Linked DNA regions of Diceros bicornis minor. The main gene of each other region encodes a partner of the protein of the gene in region 2 in a complex. Links are inferred from orthologs where the notes say so. Each region holds a gene or a part of one and is shown on either strand. Other genes may lie near its edges. The genes, in order: TMEM17, TMEM231, MKS1 and TMEM237.

What was found.
Region 1: TMEM231 (region 2) and TMEM17 share a complex: the UniProt entries of both Homo sapiens proteins name them as parts of the tectonic-like complex. The link is inferred for Diceros bicornis minor from reciprocal best matches to the Homo sapiens genes TMEM231 and TMEM17.
Region 3: TMEM231 (region 2) and MKS1 share a complex: the UniProt entries of both Homo sapiens proteins name them as parts of the tectonic-like complex. The link is inferred for Diceros bicornis minor from reciprocal best matches to the Homo sapiens genes TMEM231 and MKS1.
Region 4: TMEM231 (region 2) and TMEM237 share a complex: the UniProt entries of both Homo sapiens proteins name them as parts of the tectonic-like complex. The link is inferred for Diceros bicornis minor from reciprocal best matches to the Homo sapiens genes TMEM231 and TMEM237.

The regions. Positions count from the first base shown.
Region 1 is NC_080751.1:24,967,946-24,975,099, reverse strand, and holds the start of TMEM17 (transmembrane protein 17), read right to left. Parts: upstream 3,004-7,154; 5' UTR 2,901-3,003; coding exon 2,801-2,900; intron 1-2,800. UniProt on the Homo sapiens protein: Transmembrane component of the tectonic-like complex, a complex localized at the transition zone of primary cilia and acting as a barrier that prevents diffusion of transmembrane proteins between the cilia and plasma membranes.
Region 2 is NC_080771.1:25,997,478-26,005,044, forward strand, and holds the start of TMEM231 (transmembrane protein 231), read right to left. Parts: upstream 3,001-7,567; 5' UTR 2,899-3,000; coding exon 2,760-2,898; intron 2,654-2,759; coding exon 2,484-2,653; intron 1,319-2,483; coding exon 1,264-1,318; intron 1,020-1,263; coding exon 937-1,019; intron 1-936. UniProt on the Homo sapiens protein: Transmembrane component of the tectonic-like complex, a complex localized at the transition zone of primary cilia and acting as a barrier that prevents diffusion of transmembrane proteins between the cilia and plasma membranes.
Region 3 is NC_080757.1:29,467,796-29,475,032, reverse strand, and holds the start of MKS1 (tectonic-like complex member MKS1), read right to left. Parts: upstream 3,013-7,237; 5' UTR 3,004-3,012; coding exon 2,924-3,003; intron 2,500-2,923; coding exon 2,390-2,499; intron 1,045-2,389; coding exon 974-1,044; intron 288-973; coding exon 132-287; intron 1-131. UniProt on the Homo sapiens protein: Component of the tectonic-like complex, a complex localized at the transition zone of primary cilia and acting as a barrier that prevents diffusion of transmembrane proteins between the cilia and plasma membranes.
Region 4 is NC_080749.1:79,490,035-79,497,768, forward strand, and holds the start of TMEM237 (transmembrane protein 237), read right to left. Parts: upstream 3,019-7,734; coding exon 3,011-3,018; intron 2,784-3,010; coding exon 2,773-2,783; intron 1,856-2,772; coding exon 1,799-1,855; intron 174-1,798; coding exon 36-173; intron 1-35. Other genes in the region: MPP4 (MAGUK p55 subfamily member 4), read right to left, coding at 6,574-6,765. UniProt on the Homo sapiens protein: Component of the transition zone in primary cilia. Required for ciliogenesis.

The DNA.
Region 1 (7,154 bases), on a different chromosome or scaffold from region 2:
TACTCTAATCCCACCCATTCATTAATACCCAATTCAATGCCACTTTTTCCATAAATCCCCTCTTGATCATATTCCCCTATCCCAGCAGATATCTGTTTCCCCTCTCAGCACTTAGATCACTCTAACTTGTGTATAAGAAGTGTTAGCAGAGAACCACACACCCCTCACTCGAGACACAGTCTGGTGTACTGAAGAGATCATGAGCTTTGGAGTCCAAGTAGACTCAGAACTCCCCAAACTCCCCTGTAACTCTGGATGCCAGACTTGGGATATGTTACTTAACCTCTTTGAGCTTCAATTTCTTCATCTGTAAAATAGTAACATTAAAATTACCTCCCAAGTTACTTGTGAGGATTAGCAATAATATAAATTATTTCACCTACCACCATGCCTGGCACTTAGTAGGCACTCAATAAACATTAGTTCCCATTCTTTCTCTTTTACTTATTCACAGCCTCATTATAAGCACAGACCATGTTCTACCCAAATTTGAGACCCTCATAAAACCTAGCATCTTGGTTTACACATGGTAAATACCAAATACACAAAAGCAGAAAGAATGAATTAATGAAAACATACTGTCATAAGGACATTATCAGTGTAGCCATTCGTGATACATGAGTTTCATTTCCCAGGCTGATTACACAGCACTTTTGCTTTTATGTAAGGGAGAAGGGTCCTAAATTAAGAATTTGATTTTATAAATTGAGTCCTACAAAGGTATCCTAAATTTGACTAAATTCTAACAATTTAAGAGAAGATATATATTTTGAAATCAATTGCTCTAAATGTAAGAATTTACAAAGGCTCTAAAATAAATTTCTTAAAAACTGATTCTTTTGTCTCCACAGCTGAATATTTTATGTCATTTAATAATTTTAAAATATATTTAATATTTTTATATTTAATAATTTAATTTAATAATTTTAAAATATAAGAAATAATCATGGTCTATCATAGCAAGAAGTTTTCCATTAGCTCCAAGAATATGCCTGATTATTATGATCTACTTTCTAAAAAATTCTATTATGATCTACTTTTGCTTGCACCTATTTATTAAATTACCACTGACAAAGGAATCAATTCTTAAAATCTGTTAAATCTGAAGGAAACTCACTAGCCTAGGATTTTATTCATAACAGTACAACTCTTGGTCAGCTGTAGACAAGATAATGATATACACTTGTAATTACAGTACAAATAATCAAACCTACTTCAGATCCACAAAGAAGAAAATGTAGAAAGATAACGATAAATTAGGTAAGCTGAAAAATTTAATACCTTTGGAGCAGAAACTGTAGTCAAATTTTGCAAAGAAGTTTTTATGTTAGAAATTTTGTACATGAGCATCTTAAGAGTTATGCTATGTCTATATTTCAGCAGATCAAACTTATAATCATGCAATCGAAAATCAATATGTAAATGAACCTTGAAAGCACAAGACACGAATTTACTAAATTTTGCAAAAGTACAAGTTGAATTCTGTAAATGGAACTTAAATTAAGACATTATATAAATCAGGGGTAAGCAAACTACCAACCAGCTGCCTGTTTTTGTATAGCAAGTGAACTAAAAACGGGTTTTCACATTTTTAATTGGTTGGGGAAAAAAAATAAAAGAATAATATTTTGTGACACTGAAAATCATATGAAATTCAAATTTTAGTGTCCATAAATAAAGTTTTATTGGAACACTGCCATGCTTATTCAATTACCATTATCTGCGGCTGCCACAGAGACCTATGGCCTGCAGAGTCTAAAATATTTACTATCTGGCACTTTACAGAAAAAGTCTGCTGACCCCTGATACCTTGCATCATCAGATTTTACCGCCTGTTAAGCTTTAGCTTTAGAATCAGAACTGTAAAAACCTAATATTTCACATTACATTTTTCTCCGTACATCCTAAATCATGAAGAGGCCTAAATTTGGGGGACAGGCAAATAAGCAGGGTGAAAAAACGCAACTATGGGAATTGACTTTACTTTTCTCTGTCCTTTTTAAAAAATCCTTAAACCAAGCAAGAGGAAAAGATTTCTAATCCCCAACAGAATTCAGTGATAAAAACCGCATGGGTTTGGTTGACAGTATGTTGTCTATCATCATGATTTAAGAGGAGGACACTGTTTTGAAGGAAACTGCGTTACCTGTCATGTTGAATGTAGCATCGTGGTATTTTGTTACCAGATTTAGGGAAAGAGTTACATATAGAGGAGGAGGAGAAAGCAGGGAAGGGGGCGAGTTTTGTTGAAGGCGATGCTAGTGTGGCAGCTGCCACTCTGGAGCGGATAGCGGTTTAAAATGACTCATTTTAAAAACTTGTTTCCATCTCTTCTGCCACAAAACGGACTTGTGGTGGAACGTACTTATTCTGCTAGCTAAAGAAAAAAGGAAAAGATATTTTCTCGGGGTAGGGGGTGGGGAGTGGGAAGGGGAGACTGCCTAGGCTGTTGTCACTCCATCCTGGCCAGAAAAGCCAGGGCGGACCCGCAAAGGAAAAGCAACTTCGGCCTTCGCGGAGGGCGCGGGAGCGGATGTGTGCTGCGAAGGCGGCTTTTATATTTTTATTTTTTGAAGAAGGCCGGCGCCAGCTCAGCTGCCCCGCTTCCAGGCCGCCAGCCAGGCCGCAGCACGCTCAGCCCAAGACCCGCCGGGGATCCGGGCTTCTCCTCCAAGGCGCTTTCCGCACTGCGGGGAACCAGCTGAAGGCGAAGCCGCCATCTTAGGTCCGGGCAAAATCTGGCCGCTCCAAAACCGGCGCCAGGTTGTCGGCAGGCCACACCCGGACCTTCGCCACTCACCCGGACCCTCGCTGTACTCCGGCCCGGTCCGGTTAGAGTCGCTGAACACGGTCCGGCTGAAGTTTCCCAGCCGCTGGCGGACCGGATCCGGCAGCTCCATGCCCGGGCCTCGGAACCTCTCACAGCTGGGTCTGCGGACGCAGCCGCGCTCTGCGGTTCCCACGGCAACCGGGCGGTGCGAGGGCTGGGGGCCCGGGTGCACGCGCGGCCGCACTGCGGGGCCCGGGTGCGGGTCGCTAGCCGGCGCGTCTGGAAGGGAGAGGTGCTCGGAGGCCCGGTACCTGCTGAGCGCCTCAGCCGGGTGCAAAACGGTAGATTCGTTAGTCCTGTTTTAAGCCTTACCCTTTTAAAAACAAATAGAAATAATAATAAATAACCTGGGCTTGGATTGTGATACAAAGTATGAGGGTTGGAGCCCTCATACTTTGCCAGTGGGATGCAACTTTTCTGGAAGGAAATAGAGAACGAATGCAGAGCTTAAAGAATGTTCATGACCCAGTAGCTTCTTTTTTGGGAGCTATATGTATAGTATGTGTGTGTATGTGTATATATATTTGATGGAGTATATTGCAGCAGCTTAAAAAACATGCTTGCAATGAATATTTGATGATATGGATTAACTTTAAGTAAAAATAAAAAACCAAAAGTAAAACTAAATAGAAATGAACCTCTTTTAGCAAAATGTGCGTGTGTAAATATGTGGGGAGCAGGGGTAGGTAGCACAAGCACCGTGGCTTCAAAAAAAGACTAGAAGGAAACAATCCAAAATGTTAATAGTGGTTATTTCTGGATAGTGGGTTGTGGGTGATTTAAATTTTTAAACATCTCTGTATTTTCCAGCTTTCTCTCAAATAAGATGTGTTATTTTTTAAAAAAACTATTTAAGTATAATATACATACAGAACTGAATATACATATGTAACCAGTACACAGGTCAAGAAACAGAACGTTATCAGCACCCCGAGAATCTCCCCCTTCCTGTTTCCTTACAGTCACTAACCCTCCACTTCTAAATGACCTTTCCCGACTACTGACAGCATAGTTTTGTCTATTTTTATGCCTTATATAAAAGTAATCTTGCAGTAAGTGCTTTTTAAAAAGAAATCTGGCTCTTTGCCCTCAAAATTATTTTCATGAAACTCCTTCATATTGTTGAGTGTAGATTCTCTTTCTTGCTGTGTGTGACCATGCCACAATAAGTTTATCCATTCTACTGTTGATGAGCATCTGTGTATTTTCTAGTTTGGAGCTATTATGAATAGTGCAGCTTTTGATGAAAATATACATCTTGGTGAACATATGCATGCCTTTGTGCAGAGTTTATTCCCAGGAGTGGAATTGCTGGCTTATGAGGTAGGACCCAGCTTTAATAGATACTGCCAACAGTTTTCCAAAGTGGTTGTACCAATTTCTATTTCCTGTAGCAATGGTGTGTGCATTTCTGTTGCTTCAAATCCATCACCAACACTTGTTATTTTCCGTCCTTTCCTTTCAGCCATTCTGATGGGTGTGTGGTGAACAGTATTATTTTTACAGTCAAAGGAACCGTACATATTTATCTAAATGCCAAGAGGAAGGCATGGGAGGAAATAGATACATGGCTAGAATCTCAAAATAATTCATCGAATGCTTATTGCATTCTTACTACTTTTTTTGGCATTGTACTTGGCTAATTATGGATATTCCTCTCCATCAAGAAGCTCAGCCCGGTGAAAGAGTGCGAGACATGGAAACAAATACGTACGATATACTTGAGTAAAGAAACACAGATGAGGAAGCAATTAGTTCTGGTTGGGGATGTCAGGGAAAAGCTGGCTAACTTCTGCTTCTTTCCAAGATAGAGCTCAGGCCTCAGCATCTCCAAAAGGCTTCCAGGACCTTCGTGAAGCTGGCTTAAGTGCCCTCCTCTCTTTCTCAAAGCATGTTCCTCTGTGTTACTTTGGAAGTGCTAGTCACGCTGTACTATAACTGTCTATTTGTGTCTGTTTCTCTTGCTAGTCCACGCGCTCTTTGAGGTCAGGGATGGGCTTTCATCTTTCTATCCTGAGCATTAGGATGGGTGCCTGACCTGGAGTGGGAACTGGATAACTATTGAATGAATAAAGGGAATAAAAGGTCTAAAGACCACTCCCATATCTTACCATTTCTAGTTCAAGGACTTACTTAGCCAGCCCTTATATAAGGTTCACTCTATAGAGAAGAGAATTGATATATTAAAACGCAGTGAATTATAGCAATCAAAAAAAATTTGGTGGGGGGCGGGGCGGCCTGGTGGCATAGTGGTTAAGTTTGGCGTGCTCCGCTTCAGCATCCTGGGTTCACGTGTTCAGATCCTGGGTGCAGACCAACACCAGTAGTCAGCCATGCTGTGACGGTGACCCACGTACAGAATAGAGGAAGATTGGCACAGATGTTAGCACAGGGCGAATCTTCCTCAGCCAAGAGGAAAAAAAAAATTTAACTTAGCAACAAAGAATCAATTATTGTCTATTAAATTAAGCAAGATTTTTTTCTTCTCCCCAAAGCCCCAGTGCGTGGTTGCGTATCTTAGTTCTAAGTCCTTCTAGTTAGTCTTTGTGAGCTGCCGGCACAACATGGCAATTGACAAATGGGTGATGTGGTTCCGCAGCGGGGAAATGAACCCAGGCTGCCAAAACGGGGAGAGCGCTGAACTTTAACCACTAGGCCATCAGGGCTGGCTCTAACCAAGACTTTTATAAAGGGCACAGTGAAGCAGGAATCTTCATACTCTGCTGATTGAGTTATAATTTGAAGAATCTCATTCAGGAAAGCAATCAGCAATATGTACAAATTGCCTTAAAAATACTCCTGCCTTTAATACAATGATTCAATTTTTAAGGCTCTATTTTGGGGAAGTAATCATAAAAACAAATAACATTTTATACAGTAAGAGATTAATTCCAACATTATTGATATTAGTTAAAAAGAAAAAAAGGTGGGGGAGCATTTGGAGTGCCCAATCACAGGGCCTAGTTAAGCAGATTATGATAATCCTGGTGAGGTGGGCTATAGTGGAAAGGATGTCCTTGGAAGCAGAGAGAGCAGGGTTCGAATCTCCTAAAATTCTCACTTTACCCCATAAGAGCCATGCGATTGATTTCAGACCTTTGTTTTGTAAAGTGAGAATAATGATAACTTACTGTTATGGTTGATGTGAAGATTATATCATTAAATAAGGCTTTCTATAAGTGATGGCTGTCTTTGACACTTATCCTTCTATAAATGATGGACATCTTTGATGTTTGTGAAGAAAAAACACCTACAGTGGAGTGAAATCATGCCAGCATTTAATTTTCTGAATTCAGCTGTACCTATGAGGCATACCTCTATTGCTTTCCTAGTAAAGACAGTGGGTAGAATTAACCACAAAACAGTCCATGCATGTTAACCAAATTGATCAAAGGCCTGAGTGAATTTCTTTAAAGATTTTTTCCTGGCATTGAAAAAAGATATGAAACACCTTATTCAGATTGCAATTATTCTATCAAAATCCTGGAGGAAAAAATTGATAGAATTATGGGTATTTTTCATTTTATTTGTTATTCAAATTTACTATAATAAGCATGCATTTTATAGTTTGAAACAAATCTTATTAAAAATAAATTGAGAGAAAGAGGCAATGATGGTGCAAAATTGTATTAAAGAAGAGTTTTGAGAGGAAAAAATTGTGGTTTAGAAAGAATCCTGCCGTTACTGATGTCACAAATGGTCCAAAGAGCTCAAAAAGCTTTTGAAATATTATTTTGTTGGTTGATGCTCACAATATTTATAGGCAATTACATTAATGAAATGCTCAAGAACAGAGAAGGGAACCCACTTTCATGGAGTCAAGACTAGTATAATTTGGGTTTCCCATATTCTAGACATATTCAGAATCTGAAGAGAGGAGTAGGGAGTCTCCATTCTTAAAATCATGGGAATCAGTCCCGGCAAGATTAATAAATAATCCTATAAAGTTAAACTGTTTACTTCTTGTACCAGTGTTGATGGTCAGAGTAATAGCTGCTTCTCCAATAATTGTTTAATGTATTTCATTGGAGTTTAATTTCATTTATGATTTACTTTCCTAAATATTCATTTTCACAAAAATTTTGAGACTAGTGCAATGGTTTGGGTCTCTTTGACAAGAGGCAAAGTTGTCTGGTAATAACATTATCTTATGTGACAAGAAACTGATTTGGAGAGTTATTTAAATTACTCCTTGGCGTAATAAAGATATAAATTCTTTTCACTTGATACTAATAAAAAGTTTAGGAACAATATTTTTAAGTAAACATGTTATTCAATTTATTTCCTTAAAATGAATTGAGACATTTCTAAGAATTTAGGTAAA
Region 2 (7,567 bases):
TGAGGTCTGTACTTCCACTGTCTTCTCATTTCTTGTATCTCATGATTTCAAACTATTCTCAAACCAAGAGCTCAGGTAGGAAGGAAGCAAAGCATTTATTGAGAAAGACTGTAGATAACAAGGCCATAAATTACTTATAGGCACTGGCCTAGAATGAAGGGGTAAAAAACTAAGAAAAAGGAGCTTTGGTTTTGTGTCTTACAAAAATTACCCAGTATGAAAGGATTAACGGTTCTGGGCACCAAAAAAAAAAAAGAGGTAGTCTTGGCTTTGTAGATTTAAAATCGGAATTCACACACACCAGAAGCAGGGGGAACATGGGCAATGCTCTCAAGGGAGCAGTTTCTGGTTACCGAGATAAGAGGCTAACACAGCGGTCCAACCGGGGAGCCAACCACTTGTGGTGGATGAACAAGTGAAAAGAACGAATGAACGAAACCTAACGCTATATCCCTGTTTTCATGATTATTTTACATTTTCATGATTATTTCTTAGACTCAAGTAACCAGAAGAATAGGATAGAGAGGAATATACAAATGTAAAGAAAAAAATTTAAGACAGGGACTGCTAACCTAAAGTAAACCAAACAAGTTAATTTTTTATTTGGAATAAAAAATCCTTTGTTTCCATTTTTGGAAATGAAACACACGCACATGGAACACCAGAAGTACACTGGGTACACAATGAAAAGTAAGCATACCTCAACACTGGCCTCTCATCCAGTCACCCTTCCCAAGAGGCATTATAATCTCAAATAATAAAAATGGGCAACATGTCATGATTAGTGAGGAGCTACTGAAAGAAATGTCTCCTACTCCAGTTCTATTTTTAAAATCAATTTAAAAGACCTAAGCATTTAAAGAATCAAAGTGTTCAACCATATTTGTTAGAAAAACAGACTTCCACTCCCATAACAAATATTTTCATCTCATTTACCTCATTATTTAGAAACGTATCTCCATGTTTTAACATTTGAATTGGCACTTCTCGATTTCTCAGTTTCAGGCATTCTCTATTGACTTCCCACAAGGAAAGATGAAGATTTAGTTTTCTTCCCCTCACCTCCCACCAGCCCCCACCACCCACACCCACACACACACACCCTTCCCATTCTTTTGGTTAGTCAATACTCAGTGTTCATATAATTATGACTACGTAAATACCATTCACAACTCTGATTACTTTTCCTTTCTCACTGTTCCTTACTTTTTCTTTCTCTGGAGTTACTGTTTTATTTGCTTGCTTAGTTTTCCATGTACTTACACAATTTCAACCAACAGCTTCCATTCCAATTCAAAATCTTACTCACTGCAATATTCTAATAGTGAAAAAGTAAAAGCAAATCAAATATCCACCAATGGGGAAGTGGTTAAATCCATCATGGTTTTTCTATATTATGAAATACTTTGCAGACCTTAAAAAGAATAAGGTTAATTAACAAGTATTGATTCATGTACCAAACTAAGCCTTTAATTTTATGCCTTTCTGTATACCTGTAACTTTTTCATATTTTACAATGAGCATGCATTTTTATAATCAGAAAAAAAATATAAGAAAACGTAAAGTAACCAGAAAAAAAGTAATCTGAATCATATTTTGTTTGTAGTTATTCATATAACAATAAGGTTTAAAACTTTTTTTCATTTCATTTAGCTGCTAGAAAAAAGTCTGAATTTTTGTTTTCAGCTGCACAAGTCTGGCTTGTAGGCCAATCAGCTCAGAGATGTGTAAAGAGATTCAACTTTGGAAGAAGGAAAACCAGAATTTTCATACTTCCAAAGCAAAACGTTTTCAGAAAATGTGCGGAAAGGGGTGATTGTCAAGGAAGCACTCACTTATCCTGAACCAAAGACTAAATTACAAATAGTAAAATGCTTCATTTTCATCCCAGACAGCTGCAGGATGGAGCAGCATCTAAAGGTACAAGCTCAGGGACTAGGCCAGCCCGACTTTCTGGGGAGGTCGCTGAACCAATCACCGCCTTGGCTTCCATGTGTCAAGTCTTCATAAAAACGCCTACCCTTTGCGTTCCCACCGTGGTGCGATGCACAACTGCAGCGACATGATGGGGTTACAACAGGAACACTGCTCGGCCTTCATGACCCACGAACTTTCCCGACCACCCTTCCATGAGGCCAGGCCCGGAAAGGACGGGGCCAGCGACAGGCTGTCCCCAGGCTTCTGCACTCTGTCAGGACGCAGACGCTGACAGCAGTGGCTAACCTTCTTGGGGTTGGAGACGGCTTGGAGAAGTCGAATGAAACGAGAAATTTACCTCTCAGTAAATTAAACCAGTAAAAGAGGCCAGTAAATAGGCTTAGGCCAATGAGCCTGTGCACACAACCTCCATGGGTTCGCGAACCCTTAAGATCCACGCTGGGCTCCCCGGGGGCTCAGGCCGGGCAGCTCGCTACCTCCCTCCCACCGCCACCACCGCCCAGTCCCCGGGGTGGGGGGGCTAGAAAAGGGCAGGAATCACGCACCGAAACGAGCGGGACGCGCAGGTGATCCCCCTGCAGCCGGTTGAAGGCGGGGAACGTGCTCCACGCGAGAAAGCCGCCGCGCTCGGATCCTAGCAGGGCTACGAGCAGCACCTGGTGCTGGAAGCGCACGGTCGGCTGCTCCTCGTAGCTGCTCCGCTTCAGCCAGAACCCTGAGGTAAAGAAGGCGGGAGGGCGGTAGGGAGGAAGTCAGGAAGGCCGGCCGGGGCGCCGCGGGCCGCAGGGGCTGTGCTGCGCACCGGCCGGGGGCAGGCTCACCGTGGCTCCGGAAGGCCACCAGCAGCGGCGGGATGTACGTGAGCACGGCGGCCAGCAGCAGGAACACCGCGGCCTTGGAGCAGAGCCCCGCGCGGTAGCCGCGCTCGGCCGGGTGAGAGTAGAGCTCGTAGAGCGCCATGAGCTCCGCGCGGACTAGCGCCGCACGCCCGGGACCCCTCCGCGGTTCGAGAGGAACGACTAAGTTTGGCTTCTCCTAGTTGCCATAGCTGTGGTCTCCACGGCAACCGACGGCGCAGGGAAAGGAACCAATAGCAAGGAAGCGGGGCCACCGTAGGGGCGGGGCTGACGGGGGCGATGCGGGCTGGTGGACGCTCGACCCGCTTTACGCGTTGCGTGCGTTTCTCCAAAGGCTGGGTGGAGGTAGAATGTTTGCGTGCACCAAAATCATAGCCACCGCCCGTGTTAACACTTGTGTAAAAGAAGATTTTCATAAAAGTTGCCTTACAGTAAATAGCTGCTTGTATGTTATCTGTTAATCCACAATGTGGTTCATACTTAAGTCCAGCTAGTCACAGCACACCCTACATGGGAGGAAAACACACAGAACATAAACTGGCCGTGATCCTCCACCTGTTCCTGGGATAAGACAAAAACCAGGTCCCTTTGTCTCCAAAGTTTCGTTGCTTTCACTCTACTCCATAGTAGGACAGACATAGAAACAGGACACAAATCTCGCAGCTCTTCGTGGGATAAAGGATAATTACTACATAGCTCTCTGCTATACTTTGTTACATGTATTGGGTACAAGCCTGGCTACTGGTTTTAGAGGAAGCTATGGTCCTCCCCAAAGATAACATTGGCTTATCACTTAATTGAATGTTTCTAACCCCCAAACCAGTATTTCGAGCATGGCAGAAGGATTTTTTTTTTTTTTAACCATGGTTCACAGCCAAGTTCTTCATCAAAAGGGCTTGAAGGATCACACTGCAGTGCCAAGAGATAGTGTGAAGTTTGTGCTTAGAGTGGAGTCCAGTAGTTGATGCCCCTATTTTGAAGGCAACCTAGAAGTGGCTTTTAGATGAAGAGAACAACTGAGATCCTAACAACACAGACAGAGGGAGGTCAGGATCTGCCCATTTGGGATAACTAGCTAGGGCCCTTACCATAGTCCAAGGTGACAGTGTCATCGGCCATATGATGCTTTTGACATATCTGGTCTAGTCCTACTCATTCTTGCTTTACAGCTTTTCTGGGATGGCAACACAGCTCTTAAATACAGCAATTGTTAGCTTAAAGCTATGTTATGATTCTGACATTATATTCTATCTATGGTTTAGTGGATGACTTTCATTTATTTAAATAACCATTAAAATAAGATTCTAGAATAAATGGTTCTACTATCGCATTGTGAGGGTGGCTCTGAGGAAGGAGGTGTTTCCCTCCACAGGTCCTTCTTTCAGCAGGAAACACACACTGTAGCTAGTGTCACTTGGTCACTGCTGAAACAGGGAGGTGACTGCTAAGAATTTAGGTGTATGTGTTGGGGCCCGGTCTGGTGGCGCCGCAGTTAAGTGCGCGCCCTCTGCTGCAGCGGCCCGGGGTTCGCAGGCTCGGATCCCGGGCGCGCACCAAAGCGCCGCTTGTCAAGCCATGCTGTGGCGGCGGCCCATATAAAGTAGAGGAAGATGGGCACGGATGTTAGCCCAGCGTCAGTCTTCCTCAAGAAAAAAAGGGGAGGATTGGCATCAGATGTTAGCTCAGGGCTAGTCCTCCTCACAAAAAAAAAAACAAAACAAAACAAAAAGAATTTAAGTGTATGAAGTGCTTCAGCCTCCCCTGAGATGCCATGAGCTTTGCAAAAGTATTTAATAATAACAGATACTAAGGGCCAGCCCCATGGCTTAGCGGTTAAGTGCACGTGCTCCGCTGCTGGCGGCCTGGGTTGGGATCCCAGGGGCGCACAGACGCACTGCTTCTCCGGCCATGCTGAGGTGGCGTCCCACATACAGCAACTAGAAGGATGTGCAGCTATGACATACAACTATCTACTGGGGCTTTGGGGGAAAATAAATAAATAAATAAAATCTTAAAAAAAAAAAAAAAACAGATACTAATATTTACTCTGTTTCCATGATTTGAGGAAGCTAGTCTTTGTGTTTTTATTTCAATTCTTTAAGAGAATATTAGATTTTTTTAAATGCTAAAGATCTGTGTATATTGTGTCATTTTCACACATTCATGACTGAGAACTGACTTCTCAGTTTCCATTTCCATAATTTTCTCATGTTTCATACAATTTACCTCCAAGATCAAAGAGAGTTGTTCTCTTAAAACTACACATTTTAATCATGTTTTACCCCTTTCTAGAAGCTCCCATTCAGGGTCTCTTGAATCAGTTTAAAATTCCTGAATTTTTGCTTCAAGGCTTTGCAACATTTTTTTCACATTGGCATTTATCTATATTGCTGAACCTTTGGCTTCCCAGTTCCCCATTCCAACTTCAGCCTTTGTTTCTATCTTTTTTTTTTTTTAGGGAAGATTGGCCCTGTGCTAACATCTGTTGCCAATCTTCCTCTTTTTTCTCTTTTCTCCCCAAAGCCCCAGTACATGGTTGTGTATCATAGTTATAGAGTCGTAGCTCTTCTATATGGGACGCTGCCTCAGCATGGCTTGATGAGTGGTGAGTAGGTCCGCCCCCAGGATCCCAACCAGCAAACCCCGGGGCAGGCCCCCAAAGTGGAATACTCGAACTTAACCCCTATGCCACCAGGCCTGTCCCTGTTTCTATCTTTTAAGGGAAGTTTATCCTTTAGAAAATGTACTTTTCTTTCTGAAACATAAGATTCACATTCTCTGTGAAGTCTTTCTTGGTAAGCCTTGCTTGGCTTTATGTCAGCCCCCATTGCCCTAGCCATCCCTCAGTATCCATGTTCACACACCTCTCCAACATTTGAAATTTATTCTGTGTGTGTTATAAGTCTGTTAATGTGTCATTGCATATATTGATGATCCTATTTCTCCTCCTGACTCACCTCTTCAACTAACCACCCCCTCAAGGAAGGCATCCAGTGTCCTTAGAACATTCAATCAGCTAAATGTAATGACCCAATAGGCGAAGAAGGTGATGCATATCATCAAGGCAGATCAGAGAAGCCAATTAGAATGGTGAACTGGAAAAAGACATCAAGAAAGTAGGTAAAGATAGAAGACAGAAAGACATTGCACATCATTGAAACAGGTGACACGACTATCAATTGGGTGAATGGTGGATCTTTCCCCTGAGAAGTGTACTAAGCTCTTCCAGGCGCAAGGTGGTGTACACATGCCTTGGACTAGGACACAATGACCAGCTCTGTAAAGGGAAGCAGGGATCTTCAGTCCAATTCTAACTCCTCCACTGATTCACAATCAGATGGTGAACAACCATCTTCATCCCTCAGTGTTTAATTCTATTTGCAAAAAAGGTATTTTCATTTTTTCACTCACTCTCTAGCTGATCTCATCCAGTTCAATAGCTTCAGTATTTCTCTTCTGAATCTGAGACTCATAGATCCATTCACCTACTCTACATCTTCACTTGGATATGTCTCTTGAGCATCTCATACTTAATATATCCAAAACCAAACTCTTGATTCTCACTCCTCAAGCTAGCTCCACTCTATTTTAGTAAATGGCAATTCCATCCTTTCAAAAACCCTGACTTGACTTGTCCCTCATACCTCATATCCAATCTATCAGCAAATTTTGTCTGCTCTACCTTCAAAATATATCTAGAACACAACTGCTTCCCACTGCCTCCACAGACACCATCTTGGTTTAAGCCAACATCATCCTTCACCTGGATTATCACAATAGGCTCTTAACTGTTCCCTTTGCTTCCATCCTCAACCCCTTATAGTCTACTGTCTACACAAAAGCTAACCTGATCACTTAAAAAGGAAAGTCATATCATGTCACACCTCTGTTTAAAACCCTCCACTGACTCTCATTTCATTCTAAATAAAATCCAAATTTCTTCACATGGAATTCAAAGCGCCACACAGCTTTGTTCTAGATCTCTTTGATCTCATCTCCTAACACATTCCTCCTTGCTCATTCGCCTCCAGCCACAAGTGGATCCTTCTTATTCCTAGAATATGCCAACCACTTTACCTAATTAGCATTCTATCCCACCATCACTCTAGTCTCCAACCCTGCTTTATTTTCCTGAAACAGCACCTATCGTTACCCGACATATCTATTTTCTGTCTTTTTTTTTTTTGTGAGGAAGATCAGCCCTGAGCTAACATCCATGCCAATCCTCCTCTTTTTGCTGAGGAAGACCGGTCCTGAGCCAACATCTATTGCCAATCCTCCTCCTTCCCCCCCCCCCCCCTTTTTCTCCCCAAAGCCCCAGTAGATAGTTGTATGTCATAGTTGCACATCCTTCCAGCTGCTGTACGTGAGACGCGGCCTCAGCATGGCCGGAGAAGCGGTGCGCTGGTGCGCGCCGGGATCCGAACCCAGGCCGCCAGTAGCGGAGCGTGCGCACCTAACCGCTAAGCCACGGGGCCGGCCCCTATTTTCTGTCTTGTCCAACTAGAATGCAAACTCCATCAGAACATGGGTGTTGTCTGTTCTGTTCACTGCTTTTCCTGAACACCTAGAACAGTGCTCCTATATGCAACAACAATAATTTCTAGGTACAAAATTCAAAGGATTTTTCACTTCATTAAAGACAAACAAGCAAACAAAAACCTATTTTGGTTACTCAGACACACAATCTTAAAATAACAAAGATACCTTTAGAATGAAGCTAGATTCCACAGCATCCATCAGGAATTTCAACTGTAGGAAATGATGAATGA
Region 3 (7,237 bases), on a different chromosome or scaffold from region 2:
AAGGCAGTTCTTCGACAGGCTGTCTGTTTCTCCCTAACAGGCTTCTAATTTAACACACAGAACCCAGTGAGGCCAGAAAGCTAGGGGAGGGAAAGGAGACGGAAGCTATGGGACCTCCGAAAGAACAATACCTCCTCCAAATTGGTGTATCTATCAGAGTCAGTGTAGGTAAAGATTCGTCGGTTCTTCCTGCCACCCGAATTCTCCAGCTTCAGGATTTCTTGACGGTACTGATGATCCAAAGGGCTCTGACAGGCTGCTTCATTTTGGTACAGATCTACTTCAAACTGAGGTCACAATGAGACAGAGATCTACTGAGAATATGTCAAACTTTTTTGTGTGTGCGTGAGGAAGATCAGCCCTGAGCTAACATCCATGCCAATCCTCTTCTTTTTGCCAAGGAAGACCGGCCCTGGACTAACATGTGTGCCCATCTTCCTCTATTTTATACGGGACGCCACCACAGCATGGCTAGACAAGCGGTGCCTCGGTGCGCGTCCGGAATCCCAACCTGTGAACCCTCGGGCCCTGGAAGCTGAGCGCACGCACTTAACCACTGCACCATGGGGCAGGCCCCAAATATGTCAAACTTTTGTTCCTATAACTGTTTAGTCAAATCAGTTCTATAGAGCTAATGCAATTTGACATGTTTTCGTAGCCAACTCTCAATTTATCTAAAGCACTGGAGGGCAGGGGATCCAAAGAATGTTAGAGCTAAAAGGAACCAGGGTGATGGTCTCATCTAACTCTGCTGTTACAGACGGCACGTGGCCCAGAGGTGAAAAGTGCCTTACTCAGGATCATAAAACTGGGTAGTGGCAGTCACTATGTTACACTGCCCCTATAAACACAACAGGGGAAAATATAAACTGCTACAACCTTTCTAGAAATCAGTTTGGCAGTATGTATCAAAGATCCTTCCCTGCTACAGCCAGGTGGAGGTAGACCTAGCAGACAAGTGACACCAGCTTACCTGGCTAAAGAGCTTCTCCTGCCACCCAATCACGACCTCCTCCTCTTCATCTTCATCTGGGCGGTGTCCACCTCCAAAGACAACAGAGTGCGTCAAACGTTTGAGCCAAAGCAGTACTACTTCTTGCTCTGTGGTTGGTTATAACCAAAGTCCCTGCTCTAATATTTGCCACAAAACCAGGTGGAGTTCAGCAATTTATTAAGCACTCACTCTACACAAAGGTTAGAGAGGCTGTGGACATGTGTAGAAGCCAGGATTAGGACCCAAGAAGTCTTAATTATGACTCTAATTTGAATAAAAATGAGTCATGCCTTCCAGGAATTATTTAATCTAATTCAGTGTCAGGAGCTGAAATTTAGATATAGGCTGAAGAGCTCTTCCTCAACCCCAACTGTCTACATTTGCTAGAAAGGAACCCTGGCATTGTTATCCTTACTATCCCTGAAGCCATATATCTAGAATCACAAGCACTTACCCTTAGGAGACCAAGTATCAGGCAAGAAGAGGAAAGGCAAATAAATGATTATTTAAAGAACCAAATCTGGGGCCGGCCCGGTGGCGCAAGCAGTTAAGTGTGCGCGCTCCGCTGCGGCGGCCCGGGGTTCGCTGGTTCGGATCCCGGGCGCGCACCGACGCACTGCTTGGTAAGCCATGCTGTGGCGGCGTCCCATATAAAGTGGAGGAAGATAGGCACAGATGTTAGCCCAAGGCCGTCTTCCTCAGCAAAAAAAGAGGAGGATTGGCGGATGTTAGCTCAGGGCTGATCTCCTCACAAAAAAAAAAAAAAAAAGAACCAAATCTAATACACTCCTGGCTGGGTATGCCTTTTTCAGAGTTACATGCTTCACAACCATCAGCCCATACTTTTGTCCAGGAATATATACGAACAGAAACAATAAAAGCAGAGAGAATAGTGACAACACAAACACACTGTCCTCGCTTCCTCACTCTTCTGGCTTCCCAAATAAGGAAAACCACAAGAGGGCAGTTGATGTTAATATGTACATCTTTCAAGCAGACCCCAATTTTAACATCGTTTTACAAAGTATTTGGATCAGATTTTCTCTTAGAAAAAAATGCCACAAATGGTATTTACGTTTCCAGGCAGATTTATAACATATCTAAAGTATGGCCTCTGTTATTTTATTATATTTGACCACAATTCAGATCAGTATTTTGACGGCAGGAATCATGTCATATTCAATTGTCATACTCAACATAATGGAGTAGTTAAAATTGCCTGGGATTAAATCTGGCTTCAACATTTACCCAGCCGAGTGACCCTTGGTAAGGAACCCAACCTATCTATGCCTTTTCTCAGATGAGAGACCTGGGTCTACTCTGTCTTAAGAGGTAACTACCGCCCCAGGCACTTCTCCAGATCCCCAAGGGGCCGCATCACCACCATACACCCACTGGCGGTTGGGTGAGGCCTAAAAGTGGCCAAGTCTATGAGGTCCTTCCCGAGCTGGGCAGCAGGCTGGTAATGGAGGAAGCTGCTTGATGTGATTCTTTGCAGGTGGACTCTGTCAGGAAAAGGGAACCCGAAATACTCGTTACAAGACATACAACTAGGAGATGAACACAGAGCAAAGATGGAAACAAAACACAGAAGAGGGTGAGGCTACCAAGGTGTACTGGGTGCAGGCAACAGAGGGGGAGGTAAGCGGGGTGTGGGGTCCTAAGGAGAAGGGCGAGAATGACAGAGTGTATTGGGGACACAGAGCTCCGAGGAATCTGGGAGAGGCAGGGTCTTAAAAGGGCTTCGGAGAGTCTGGAAGCTGTGAGTGCGGAAGGTTCCGGGCAGTGAGGGCGACGCGAGGAGAATGGGGAGGCAGTGGTCAGGATTGTAGGCGGATGTGCGTGCCTCAGCAAACGAGAAGTGAAGTTCGGGCTCGAATTATCTAAGGGCATAAAAGCACGGGGCTCTAGGTAGGGCGATGCGACTACCGGAGGCGCAGGTTGCGCACGGGGTCCCGAGAGCGATACACGGCCTCTCCGGTGTCAGTGCTCCAGAAGGCCTCCGCCATGACAGCTGCGACGCGCCGCGACTGCGCCGGAAAGCGCGTCGCTCCGTTCCCCCAGCAACGGAGACGCTGGGCTGGTGAGGTGTGGAGGCTCTGCGCGCGCAACTCGCGGTCAGCGGCGCCGCGCTGCCGCAGCCCCCCCAGGAGGGGCCTAGGCCAGGCGAAGCGTGTGTGCACGCTCAAGCTGGGGTCCTGCGAGCCACCGTTTGCAGCGCGTGAGAACAAAGGTCGCTCACACCCAAGGCTGGACTTGATGCACTTTACAAATGAGGAAACTAAGGCAGAGCCATCGGCCCCTTTCAAATAGATTCAGAAATGGTGATGGGGACCAAACCCCGGTGTCCTGAGTTCTCAAACACTACTTGTTGCACCACATCACACTGCCTTCCACTGAGTGATCGGAAACTTTGGCCTGAAAATCGGTGGATGTGACTCACAGAAAGCACCCATTTTTCCCAAAAAAGTCACGTAAGGTGATAGCACTGTGGGGAATCAGAATTTGCCACCCCAAAATGTGTCTCTTTGGCTTGATTATTTTGAAGGACAAAAGACCCTAAAGGAAACTTTGACCTTCCCCCTAATTGCCTAAAAGGCTTTAAGATTGAAGGACCTGTCCCAGCAAGGCGCTCTCACTGTAGATAATTCTAGGTGTGGTAGACAGGAAGGCATCTAGCAAGGGCCATTTTCTCAAAAGATCGCTTCCGTGTCTCATTGTCTGTAGATGGCCCAGCAAACATTTGCTTATCCAACATTTGCTTTTCCATCACCATGTACGTTGCCTTCCTCCCCCACAGTTTGGTGACCAGGATGGGGCAAAACTTAACTGGCTGGAGGCTGCTTGCTCCTGGACTACTGCAGCTGAGAGAGATCCTGGATCCCTGACAAGAGCCGGCAGGAGGTAAGAGTTCTTTCCAGGTCAGTCTCCCGGATCTCTGCCTGCATGGTCCAATGGAAGCGAAAGTGGTGAGTGTTTTTCCTTTTCTAAATTTAGATTAGCAGGAGAAAATATTGGTGAAGCTAGCTTCTTGGCCTCAGCGACTCTGGGAAATTTGGTTTGAGTACTCATTGATTTATTTATTGATCCTTTTCCTCCCAGAGATAGTCACTATTTTTCCTTGTCTCTGTCTTTGTGTCTATGTCTTGAGAGCTTGGCTTTGTGACCTTTTTGGTCTCCACCATTCAGAAGATGCAGGTACTGGCATGCATCTTGGCGATCAGTCGAGTAGACTGGGGTCTGAGATGCACTCTCTTTGTCTGGCTGTATCAGCTCTCAGGGGGGTTTGTCATAAGGCATCCCACTTGCTTTCATAAGGGAATTCTGTCATCTCAACCTTTGTGGCTTGTTAATGCTGGTCTTACTGCCTGGGCAATGAAGGCCCTTGCTTTCTTAGTATTTTTGTGAATGAACTTTCTGGATCTTGTGAGGGCTGCTTCTTTTGCACTATGTTTTGGGGATGGCTCCGTGTCCATGGTTAAGCCATAAGGCTTATTGGTTTTGAAGCCAGGTACTTGAGGGTTACTGTAAATATTCAATAAGATTACTTTTCAACCTTGTTCCCAACACAGGCGTAGATGAAAATAAGTTAATCTTGTCAATTTGCTGTTTTCTTGTTTAACCTGAGGAGTGACTCAAGGATCACAAGGATTTATGAGCTTGTTTTACAGAAGAAAAAGAATGCCTTCAAGGATCCGCAGATAACCAGCCCCCAGCTGCTGTGGACACCCAGAAGTCAGATTGCCCAGGGGCTTATCGGGAGTGAAAGAAACATGGATTACTCCTTTGTTTCTTTGAAACTCCTCCTGCCAAGCCACTTAGCTCTATAAAATCCCTTGCTTTCTTCTCTTAAGGCAGATTTGAGAGAACCTATCCTCCTGACTTCTCGTGTGGCCAGTTCAAATAAACCTTTCTCCATCTCCAAGCACTGATATCTCAGCGATTGGTTTACTGCACACCAGGCACATGAACTTGAGATTAAGAAGTTCAGTATCAGTTTGAGTAGCTATTAAGATCCTCCTCCTCAATGTGGCCAGATGATGGATCATTTAAATTGGAAAAACTTCTCTAAATTATAAAACATTTTTTGAGAACTCTCATCATAATTGTTTTATTGGTAACTATGAAAAGACCAAATTAAAAATGAAATACAAAACAAATAATGACTAGCCTTCAGACCCTGACTCAGGTTACAATTAAATTGAGAAACTGTAAAAATATAAGTGTTGATGAGATTATAGAAGTTGAAGTGTTTGAGCTAATATTGTACAGAGGCTATATCAACTTTGCCTGAGTGTGTTTTGAAAATGGACGTTATATCTGGCTGGGAACACTTCCCCTTCCAATATTATAAGACTGAGACCTATTGATAAAGTCCTAATGGAACTATCATTAGAGGTATAAGAGTTAATGGAATTCAGATGAAATTTTGTAGAAAATTGATATATTTATGGGCTTTATGTGAAGTGATTGCATCTCTTTTTGCCTGATTGTATTATAGATCGTATTATGGGGATAGACATCCTGTCTTACTGGGGAACATTTCCCCTGCCTGATTGTAAGACAGCATATAAATCTGCCCTTCAGACAATGTTAATTAAATATACTAAAGGGAAGTCAATAGAGTTGCCTGAGCCTGTACTGTATGAGATAAAAACTAGAGGCTAATATCAGGTGCTAATAAAAAAAAAAAGGTAATAAAAGCTCCTCCCCACCCAAGGTAAATTGGTCTAGGATTAAATTGTACACTTAGAAAGAAGGCCTTTGTTAAATGCTTTATGCAGACTTTTAAAGGTGTGGTACATTGTCCTAAAGTTTTAAAACAGTAGCTGTGGAGTCTTTGTGTATGTGTGTCTATATGTATATTATATATGTGTGATATTTTACCTCTGGAAGCTATGGCCAAGATTAAGAGCTCTGTTTAATTGGCTTAAAGTAAGCACTTACATAAATTATTTCTAAATGTAATAGAAACTAATTCAAATGTCTTTCAAGTTAACATGATATAAAACAATCTTTGGTAAATGCAAACTTGTTTAAGTTTGTTGGTTTGATTGAAATAAACATGTCCTCAGAGTTATCGGCGTTGGATATCATGCAGACATGCAGCCTGGGTTTACTAGTCAAATAAGCTCATGTTGGGCTGGCCCTGTGACCTAGTGGTTAAGTTCAGTGCACTCTGCTTCAGCAGCCTGGGTTTGGTTCCTGGGCACAGACCTACACCACTCATTGGGGGCCATGCTGTGGCGGCGACCCACATACAAAATAGAGGAGGATTGGCACAGATGTTAGCTCAGGGTGAATCTTCCTCAGCAAAAATATAAAATAAAATTAAAAAATAAGCTCATGTTATCTCTGTTAAAAATTTGTCAGGAAAATAATAGCTTAAAATGATAAGCTAATTTTGTCTAATGTCTCATGAAGTTTTCGTGGGTAATCTAAACATAGTTGTTGGGAGCAAATGATTTAGATGTAAGTGAGATAAGAGTTTATAGATAAACTTTTAGCAATAATTATATTTTATGGCATGAGTATTTAAAATAACTTCCAAAATCTCTTTAGTAACTTGAAATTTTGAAGTTTTGCTTGGCTAAATTAAATGATGGAAATTTCACTGAATATCAAGATCGTTTCTAAATAAGATAAAATATTAGATGTTAATTATTAATATAGGTTCATCTACTTTTGGCTTCTTATTACAGAGAAACTAAAAAGTGTTTAGGTCTTTTAGAAAACATGTCTTGTGTTTTATTAAAAGATTGTACTGGGGGCCAGCCCCGTGGCGTAGCAGTTAGGTGCACGTGCTCCGCTGCTGGCAGCCTGGGTTTGGATCCCGGGTGCACACTGATGCACTGCTTGTAAGGCCATCCTGTGGCAGCATCCCACATAAAGTGGAGGAAGATCGGCACAGATGTTACCTCAGGGCCAGTCTTCCTCAGCAAAAAAAAAAAAAAAAAAAAGAGGAGGATTGGCATGGATGTTAGCTCAGGGCTGATCTTCCTCACATACACAAAAAAAGATTGTACTATGAAGTAGCATGTTTCTAGAAATTATGAAAAGTGTTTATAAACTTGCCAAGCCACAGAATGCTACTGTAAAAGACAGTTTATAATTGCTTACTTCTCAGTTTTCACTAAAAATTAAGGTCTATAAGGGTTAAAAATTCTAATATGTGATTAAAACTACTAAAAATTGATAAGGAAAACATCTTTGTATTCAAGGAAAGTAAGATGTATGTTTTCA
Region 4 (7,734 bases), on a different chromosome or scaffold from region 2:
CCAAATCACAACCTAACCTTGGTTTCTCTACATACCAAGAGGTGGCCTTGTCTTCTTCTGTCTCCTCTGAACAGGAGCTTCTGGATGTTCTCTGGGGTCTTTAGTTGGCAGCTCACTGCCCTCAGAAGGCCTATGAACAGCAGTTTGAACAAGGCCTTCCAGAGAAGCACTAGCTACAAAAAAACAGTGGGAAAAATGAGATAACTTGAGCAGAGATCACTAAGTCTTAAAAAGACAGGAAAAAGGGAACTGGAATGTTTCCTATAGAATAACCCCTTCTCATACAGAACTGATTGTGCCCCAAATCTTGATTTCCTTCCTCCTCACCTGTAACTTTGGGCTTTAAGTTGAGAAAAGAAATAAATGAGGGAATAAGGAAGGCTGAGGAAGAAAAAAGCCAGTGGGCTAGAAAGAACAAAAGAAGAGGAGGAGGAGAAATTGCCTCAGAACTTTCAAAAAGGTGAAAACACAACAGAACCGTCACCATAGAGAACTCTTATTTGTCTCATGCCTTAAGAATTCTCAGCCTCTTAACCGCTATGCCACTGGGCCAGCCCCTAAATGAACAATTTTAATAAAAGCCTAGCAATATATCCCCTTTTTGGTCTGGGGCACTGAATTTTTTTCTCTTTTTTACAAGAAGGAAGACTGGTAGCTGGGATAGACTGCACCTCTGCTCCCCCAACACTGTCTTTACCGCATCCTCCACTTGTGACCTTTCTAGGTCCATATGTGTGTCTATAACTAACTGTGAGTGTATTTTTAGAGCCTAGCATTTCAGTGAGTATCTTTGTGAATCTAAGTCTCTTTGCATCTCTTTTCTTTCTGTTCTGTGTCTATATGTCTTTCTCTCTCTATGCACTCATCTCCATTTCTTTCTTCTTCTCTCCCCCCCCCATCTATTCCTCCATTTGTCAGGCAATAAGCCAATGTAAGTTTCTGACCAGGTGGAAGGCATGATCAGCTATGAGCTTTAAGAAGCTCACCAGCAGTAGTGGGCAGAACCGACCAGAGTGGAGGAAAGCTAGAAGTACAGAGCAATGCTGGAGGCTACCCCAACAGCTCAGGGAGAAGAGAGATCTAAATACCTACAGTTGTGACAGTGGAGATGAAAGGGGGAAAAGAGACATAAAAGATACCACAGAATAAGTCAGCTTGTGAGGCAGCCAGGAGAGTGAAGGGAACAGTTAGAGGGCTGACTTTGAGGTTTCCAGCTTGAATGACTGGGAGAGTGGGGGGGTCCCATTAACAGAAATTCGTAAGTGAGAAGTAAAAATTGATTTATTGTTGAAGGTGAAGATGAATTCTGGACGTGCTGAATTTGAGTTACTGATAGAACATCCAGGATTACTAGTGCATAACTAAGACTTGCTCATTATTAGAGCTTTACTACCTGCATTATACAGCCTTGCCTTCAGACTCACGCTCTACTGTAGAGATTCTCTGACTGAAATGAGGGATCAGGAACCTTAGGTCTCTAAATCCAGTATCCTGTTCAAGGGTCTGGAACCAATCTCAGCTTGAGACAACTTATGTTATCTAGGGATAAAAGACCTCAAAGAGTCAGAGAATGTTTTGGAAGTAAGAGTTTAGGGGGCACAACCCTTTATTCCATGAATGCTTCTAGACACTCTTCAGACTGAACCCTGCCTTGTCCCTCACTACCACCAGGAATCCCACCGCTTCAAAGTGACCCTGATTCTATCCTCAACACAGCAGGGACTTGATCTGTGATGTTTATCACATCTGAGGTTCTGGAAAAACATGTGACCCCATACAACAAAGAACAACTTCTTACCTAGTGTGGTTTTTGTTCTGGGCTTCTTTTTCTTTGGACGACTAAGGGGAATATCATCTACAAAACAGAAAGAACAACAACAGAAAAGGCTGTCTAAAATTCAATGCAGGGAACACTCAAAAGTGAACTTGAAGTAGGGAAGAACTTTCCCTCTCTTCCCTGGGTCCAGCCAACTTCTACATATTAGGAGAAGAAGGCAAGAAATTGACAAAGTCAAAGAGAGCCCACAGCGTGGCACCAATAGCTCATTGCTGGTAGTAATGTTAGAAACTGTGACACAGAAAGTGGGCTCACCAAATATTCTCGTCACCCCTCCCACCCCCGCCCTGCACTTAGGTGTGGCCTATGACTGGTTCTGGCCAATAGGTTTCGAGCAAAAGTGATCTGTGTCATTTTGGGGCCAAAATATTGAAAGAGCCAGTGAGTAACCCTCCAGCTTTCTCTTCCCTTGCTGTGGCAACTGAGGAGGCCTCACGTTAAGATGGCAGAACCACAGGATGGAAGTAGGCTGAATCACCGCATCATCAGTGAAGGGGCAGTGAAAGGCAGCTGTCCTGGATTGTTGCTTCAATGGACTCCATATTACCCAGAAATAACCTTGTATGATACTAAGTCCCTGAGACTTGGCGGTTAGTGTAACATAACCCAGTCTCTCCTGGCTCAGTGAGACAAAGAAAGATGCAGTCCCTATTACAGAACTATAAATGGCCAGCAGTTAGGTTCCGGGTGACTCCATTAAGGGATGAGTGCTTTTATTTTTGCAAGGTCAAATATCAACCACATAACTAATATTATACATCAACCATCATTAAAAAATGGCAGTCAGAGGAGATTATTATGATAAAAAGATATTGTAGTATTATAAATTATACCATTCAGATTCAAATTTAAGAGAAACATTAAGGAATCAAACTAACTTTTGAACACCAAATACTACATTTAGAAAGTTTTACAGTAACAGTGAACTAACTCACCTTGAATAGCACTTTACATGACACCGACCAAATTTAATCAGGACAAAGACAAAAAAAGAAACTATTAATTAGAAATATATTATATTGTCAGACTGAAATTTGACTTAAATCATTACAAATTAAAAATAAAATTAGCTTTCACACAGTCAGTTAGTTTACAAACTAGCTTATTATTTATAAGTAATAACCTCTTTAATAAGACTGCCAATAAAATAACCCTAATATTTTCTGAACCAACATATACATATTCCCCACTGTCTATTAATAAAGTGGATTAAACAGATTAAGAACTCTTATTTTGTCACTGATTAAAATCAGCTTAAACTCTGCGGAAACTATTCTAGCAAACAAAAGAGGATCAGAATTCTGATAAACAAGAGACTTAAACACTCAGAACGGACCCATCATCCTACCACGCTAACAGTCAGGCTCTGAACCAGAACATTAACTATAACCGTTACTTACACTAATGACTCAAGGATTTTTCACCTTTAAACTTTTAGGAAGCCATTCCTAAAATTTTCAAGAAGTCTTTTCTGAATTATTATCATTTTGTAATGGTATAATTTTTTCACTTTATTCATTTTACATTTTTAAAACGCAGTAATAAAATTAAATTATTTTTACCTTGGCACAGGTGGAAGGGCTCGTGGAGGACGCTTTGGGGGAAAAGAAGAAGAAAACTGCTTGTAAGAAAAGCTTTAGAGCATCTCTACTCCATGTATTTCAAATCTTTTGATAACCCTGTTCATCAAGTGAAACCCAGGAGATACTGATGAGAATCAGATGGACAATTTTAAATTTGTTTCACCATTTCTAAATGTCATATAAAATTCCTTCCTTCCTACATTCCTTTCTATCTAAAGGGCAGGCCCTGTTCTAAGCATTAGGGATACACTAATGAACAAAACAGAGAGACTGCTTTTATGGAATTTACATTCTAGTGGTTAAGTATTAGAAGATAACATTAATATATATATATTACTATAGTAACATATATGTATTACTACGTATATTACTACAGTAATATATACGTGTGTGTGTGTGTATATATAGTAATAAATGAGGGAGGCTGAGGAGTGCCACTTTAGTTAGGAAAAGTCTCTGAGATATTTGAGCTGAGACCTGAATAAGAAAGGAGCCAAAGGGGAGCAAATACAAAGGCGTTTAGGGAAGATTGGGCTTGGAGTATTCCAGATAAAAGAAGGCCAGTAAGGCTGCCAGACAGTTACCAAGGCAGGGACCAGATTAAAATCAGGGTCTTGAAGACCAAGAGAAGGAGTCTAGATTTTCTTTTAATTTAACGGGAAACCACGGAGGTTTTAAGCATTTTATACAGCGTGAAGAATGCATTTTAGGGCAGAAAGAATTTTTTTAAAAATCTTATAAATGCTACTTTACATGAATAGGAAAAGTTGTGTTTGCAGTTCAGAGAAATTACAGTTAAGAAGCATTCTGAAATCTTTCAAAATAAAACAAACAGAAATGCCTAGAAATCAGTATCTCACTCGGCTTGCAAAAGACACCGATTCAAAAGGGTTAAATTTTAGACACTCTTGTATTCTACAACTGTCCCATTTAGCGATCCATCATTCAAACAGTGTAGCAACACAAATGCTACAAGAGTAGGACACGGCAGGCTGTCTTAATACTGTCCAGTAGTCACAATTCGACTGGAAAGAACGACAGTTCCACGAAAGCGCTATTGTCCCGAAGATGCTAAGGCCGGCGTTCTACCCAGGCGCTCAGTTCACGCCGTTAACGCCACGTTTCAAAAGTCCCGCAAAAATGACGTGTCACCCATCCAGACGGCCAGCCTCTACGCCCCTCAAAAGTAGAACGGCCCAAGCGAACACAAAATCTTCCTAACTCAAAAGTAACTAAGGCTCGCTTACCACCTGCTTCCTCCCCATTCCGTCTCCGGCCGGCTCCCCGGCCGCCGGCCGCCGCCCGCTCCCCGGCGCGCACCCCGCCCCCCGGCCGCGCGCAGGCGCAGTGCGCCATCGGGCTGCGCCCCCAGGCCGCTGGGGCCCGCGGCCTCCTCCGGGCGCGGGGCTGGCCCTCCCGGGCTGCCCCTGCGGAACTCGCGGCGGCGGAGTCGGGCCTGCGCGGCCGGGCGTAGAGACGCCGGCGGGCGAGGGGTAGCCATCAAGTGGTTGCGGTGATTTGCTGGCGGGAGGGAGAAAGGGCTAACAGCGCTCTCCTCCCGGCGGCGGACCCTCCGGGGGGAGGCAGTCGGGGGCCTCGCCCGCAGCCCGGGAACCGCAGGGCCCGGGCCGCGTCGTCATGGCAACGTGCGCCCCGGCCGCCGGCAACCTCCCGCCTGGCTCCGCGAGTTCGGGGCCGGCCTCGGGGCGAGCCTCCGCCTCGGCCCGGCCCGGCCCGGCCCGGGGGCTCCGGGGGGCGGACGCACGCTCCGGAGCGGGGCTCTGCCCGGGCCCCAGCGCGTCGGCGTGGGCCCCGCGCGGGGTAGGTGCTGTCAGCGCAGCGCCCTCCGCCCGGCCCGCCGCGCCCTCCCCGCTCACCGGGCCGCCCTCCTCCGGCCCGACCCCCGAGTCGGCCCTCATGGCGCCCTCCCCGCGGGGCTCCTCGGCGCAACCGCCGCGGCCCGAGCCTGCTCCCCGGGAGGCGGGCTTCGCGGCGCCCGGCTCGGCCCCCGCCCGGGCCAGGTCTCCGCCCGCCGCCGCTCTGCGCAGCCCCGCGTTCCGGGGCGTCGGAGGCGGGCACCGACGCGTTTAGCCGCGGGGCCCCAGGGTTCGGCTCGGTTCGCTTGGGGGTGTGTGTGTGTTAACACAGGCAATTGTCAAATTTTCTCCAGTTGCTTGCCCTCCATCCCACAACTGTGTAAATCAAGTTTGGGAAACCTTTTTCTCGAAGCACAACATAAAATCAAATCTGGGCTCACATAAGCATCATTAAAAATGACAATTTTCTTCGTTTTGTTTGGTTGGGTTTTTCTACAGAGATAATATTCACTTTAAATTTATAAACTACAAATATTTTGAAGCACACACTCATAGTTAAAGCGAGCGGAGGGATGGTGTGGATATGGAGAAAGTTGGAGGATGATGCAGAAGATAAACACATAACAGGTGCAGGAGAAGCGACTGAAAGTCTCAGACCTAGGGAAGAAAGAAAAACAAGACTACGTGGAATAATATCCTCATCCTGTGGTTTTCTCAGATATTGGTCTCTAGGACTGAAGTCTATTGCCCTTTCCTAGTTTAGGCATAAATGTAGATATTGGCTTTTAGGAAAATTGATGGTTGTTACAGCTCTGAGCAGGAGACGACTTTTTCCTTGTAGCCTGTTGTGTAATGTGCTGAGGGTAGTGCAGTTTCTGTAGGTTTTGATGTTAGGTGTGAACTGTGTATATTCTTTCTTGCTGAGTTAGTCAAGTGAAAGCCATTTTCATAAAACAGAAGTTTCATAAGGTAAAATATAGTTTCTGAAATTAAATACTTATTTTATTTAGGAAAGCTCTTTTATCTAAATTGTACAAAGACCATATGAAATCTATAAAAGGTTCTTATATTCAGTGACTTAACATGGTTCATATTCCTACCAATTGCTGCATATGAGGTAAAGGAAAACATTTTTTTCTAAAAGCCAAATAGGTAACTCTACATAACTATACAATACAAATATATTTTCAAATAAGATTAATTAATAAACTGCAGCACTTTTAAGTTGCACACGTTGTAACAGGGCAAATGCTGCTGTTTTAGGTTGCAGCTGTTAGGCCAGAGCTCTGTAACAGGTGAACGTTGTTAAAACTCCAGCATGAAGCGGAAGGCCTCCTTAAGGCTCAGTATCAGAGGAAACCCACGTTGCTGGCACCCACTGCGGCTCCTCCTGCGCCTTCTGAACTGCAGATAGCAGCTGGGCACATGCATCTTGCAAGCGGTCATTCACAATCACGTGATCAAAAAACTGGCCAAACTGAGTCTCCATTTTTTGGGCTAAATCCTCCATCTCTTGTAGATCTTCATCCTTCAGGGGAAATAGAAACATATGGATAGCACAAACGTAACGAGTAATGAGACCAATAGAAATAATATGCAGCTTGTTATGATTACTGTTATGCAGCTGTTACATTTGGTTGTGAAGCTATTTATGAAAAGTTAGGTCAAATAAATGTGCTTTATTCTAAACCACAAAACTTATGTTTCTATCTTTAGTCTTACTTAACGTCTCCCTGGGCAAGTTTTCACAAAATTTAGTAACAGTTTGTAGACAGACCAATCCTCTCAACTTCCCATTTGGACTTAAAATATCTTGTTCTATTATCTAAACACTTGAAGCTCTCAAACAATATACAACATAAAACCAAAGAAAATTTACCAGTTAAATTTAAACACAAATTTCAAATGAACATTAATCTGATAAGAATGACATTATTTTGCAATACACAATGACCACTTTCAACATGAGGATGCTCTGACCCAGTTCTATTGAATTAGGCATACTTCAATTACCCTTTCCTTCATGATGACCTAATTCACCCTAATATCGTCTCTTTCTACTATTGTGAGATGTTCATTCAGTGAAGGTCATTTGGCCTTCACTGAGCACTAATGCAGTAAATTCATTGTTCTTATTTTATTTGTCGACAACAATTAAAATAGTACAACTCGTTGCCAATGCATCATAAACACAAATATAAATGCAGGCACTGGAATCTCGTGGCAGTACTGCTTTACAAGGTGACCTTACACATGATCCAGAAACAATTTTGTTCATTTGTTTAGATTACCATAAAAATAAGAACACAATTTTAAATGCCTGTAAGACTCAGAGAATATATCCATGGACTCCACTGTCTGAAATGCAAACTGGAGAGTCAGACCTTGATATAGTAATCATTGAAAACATATGAACATAAAAATAATGATAGAGAAAGGATAATATAAAGCTATCTTGTGCTCACTTCAGCAGCACATATACTAAAATTGAAATGAT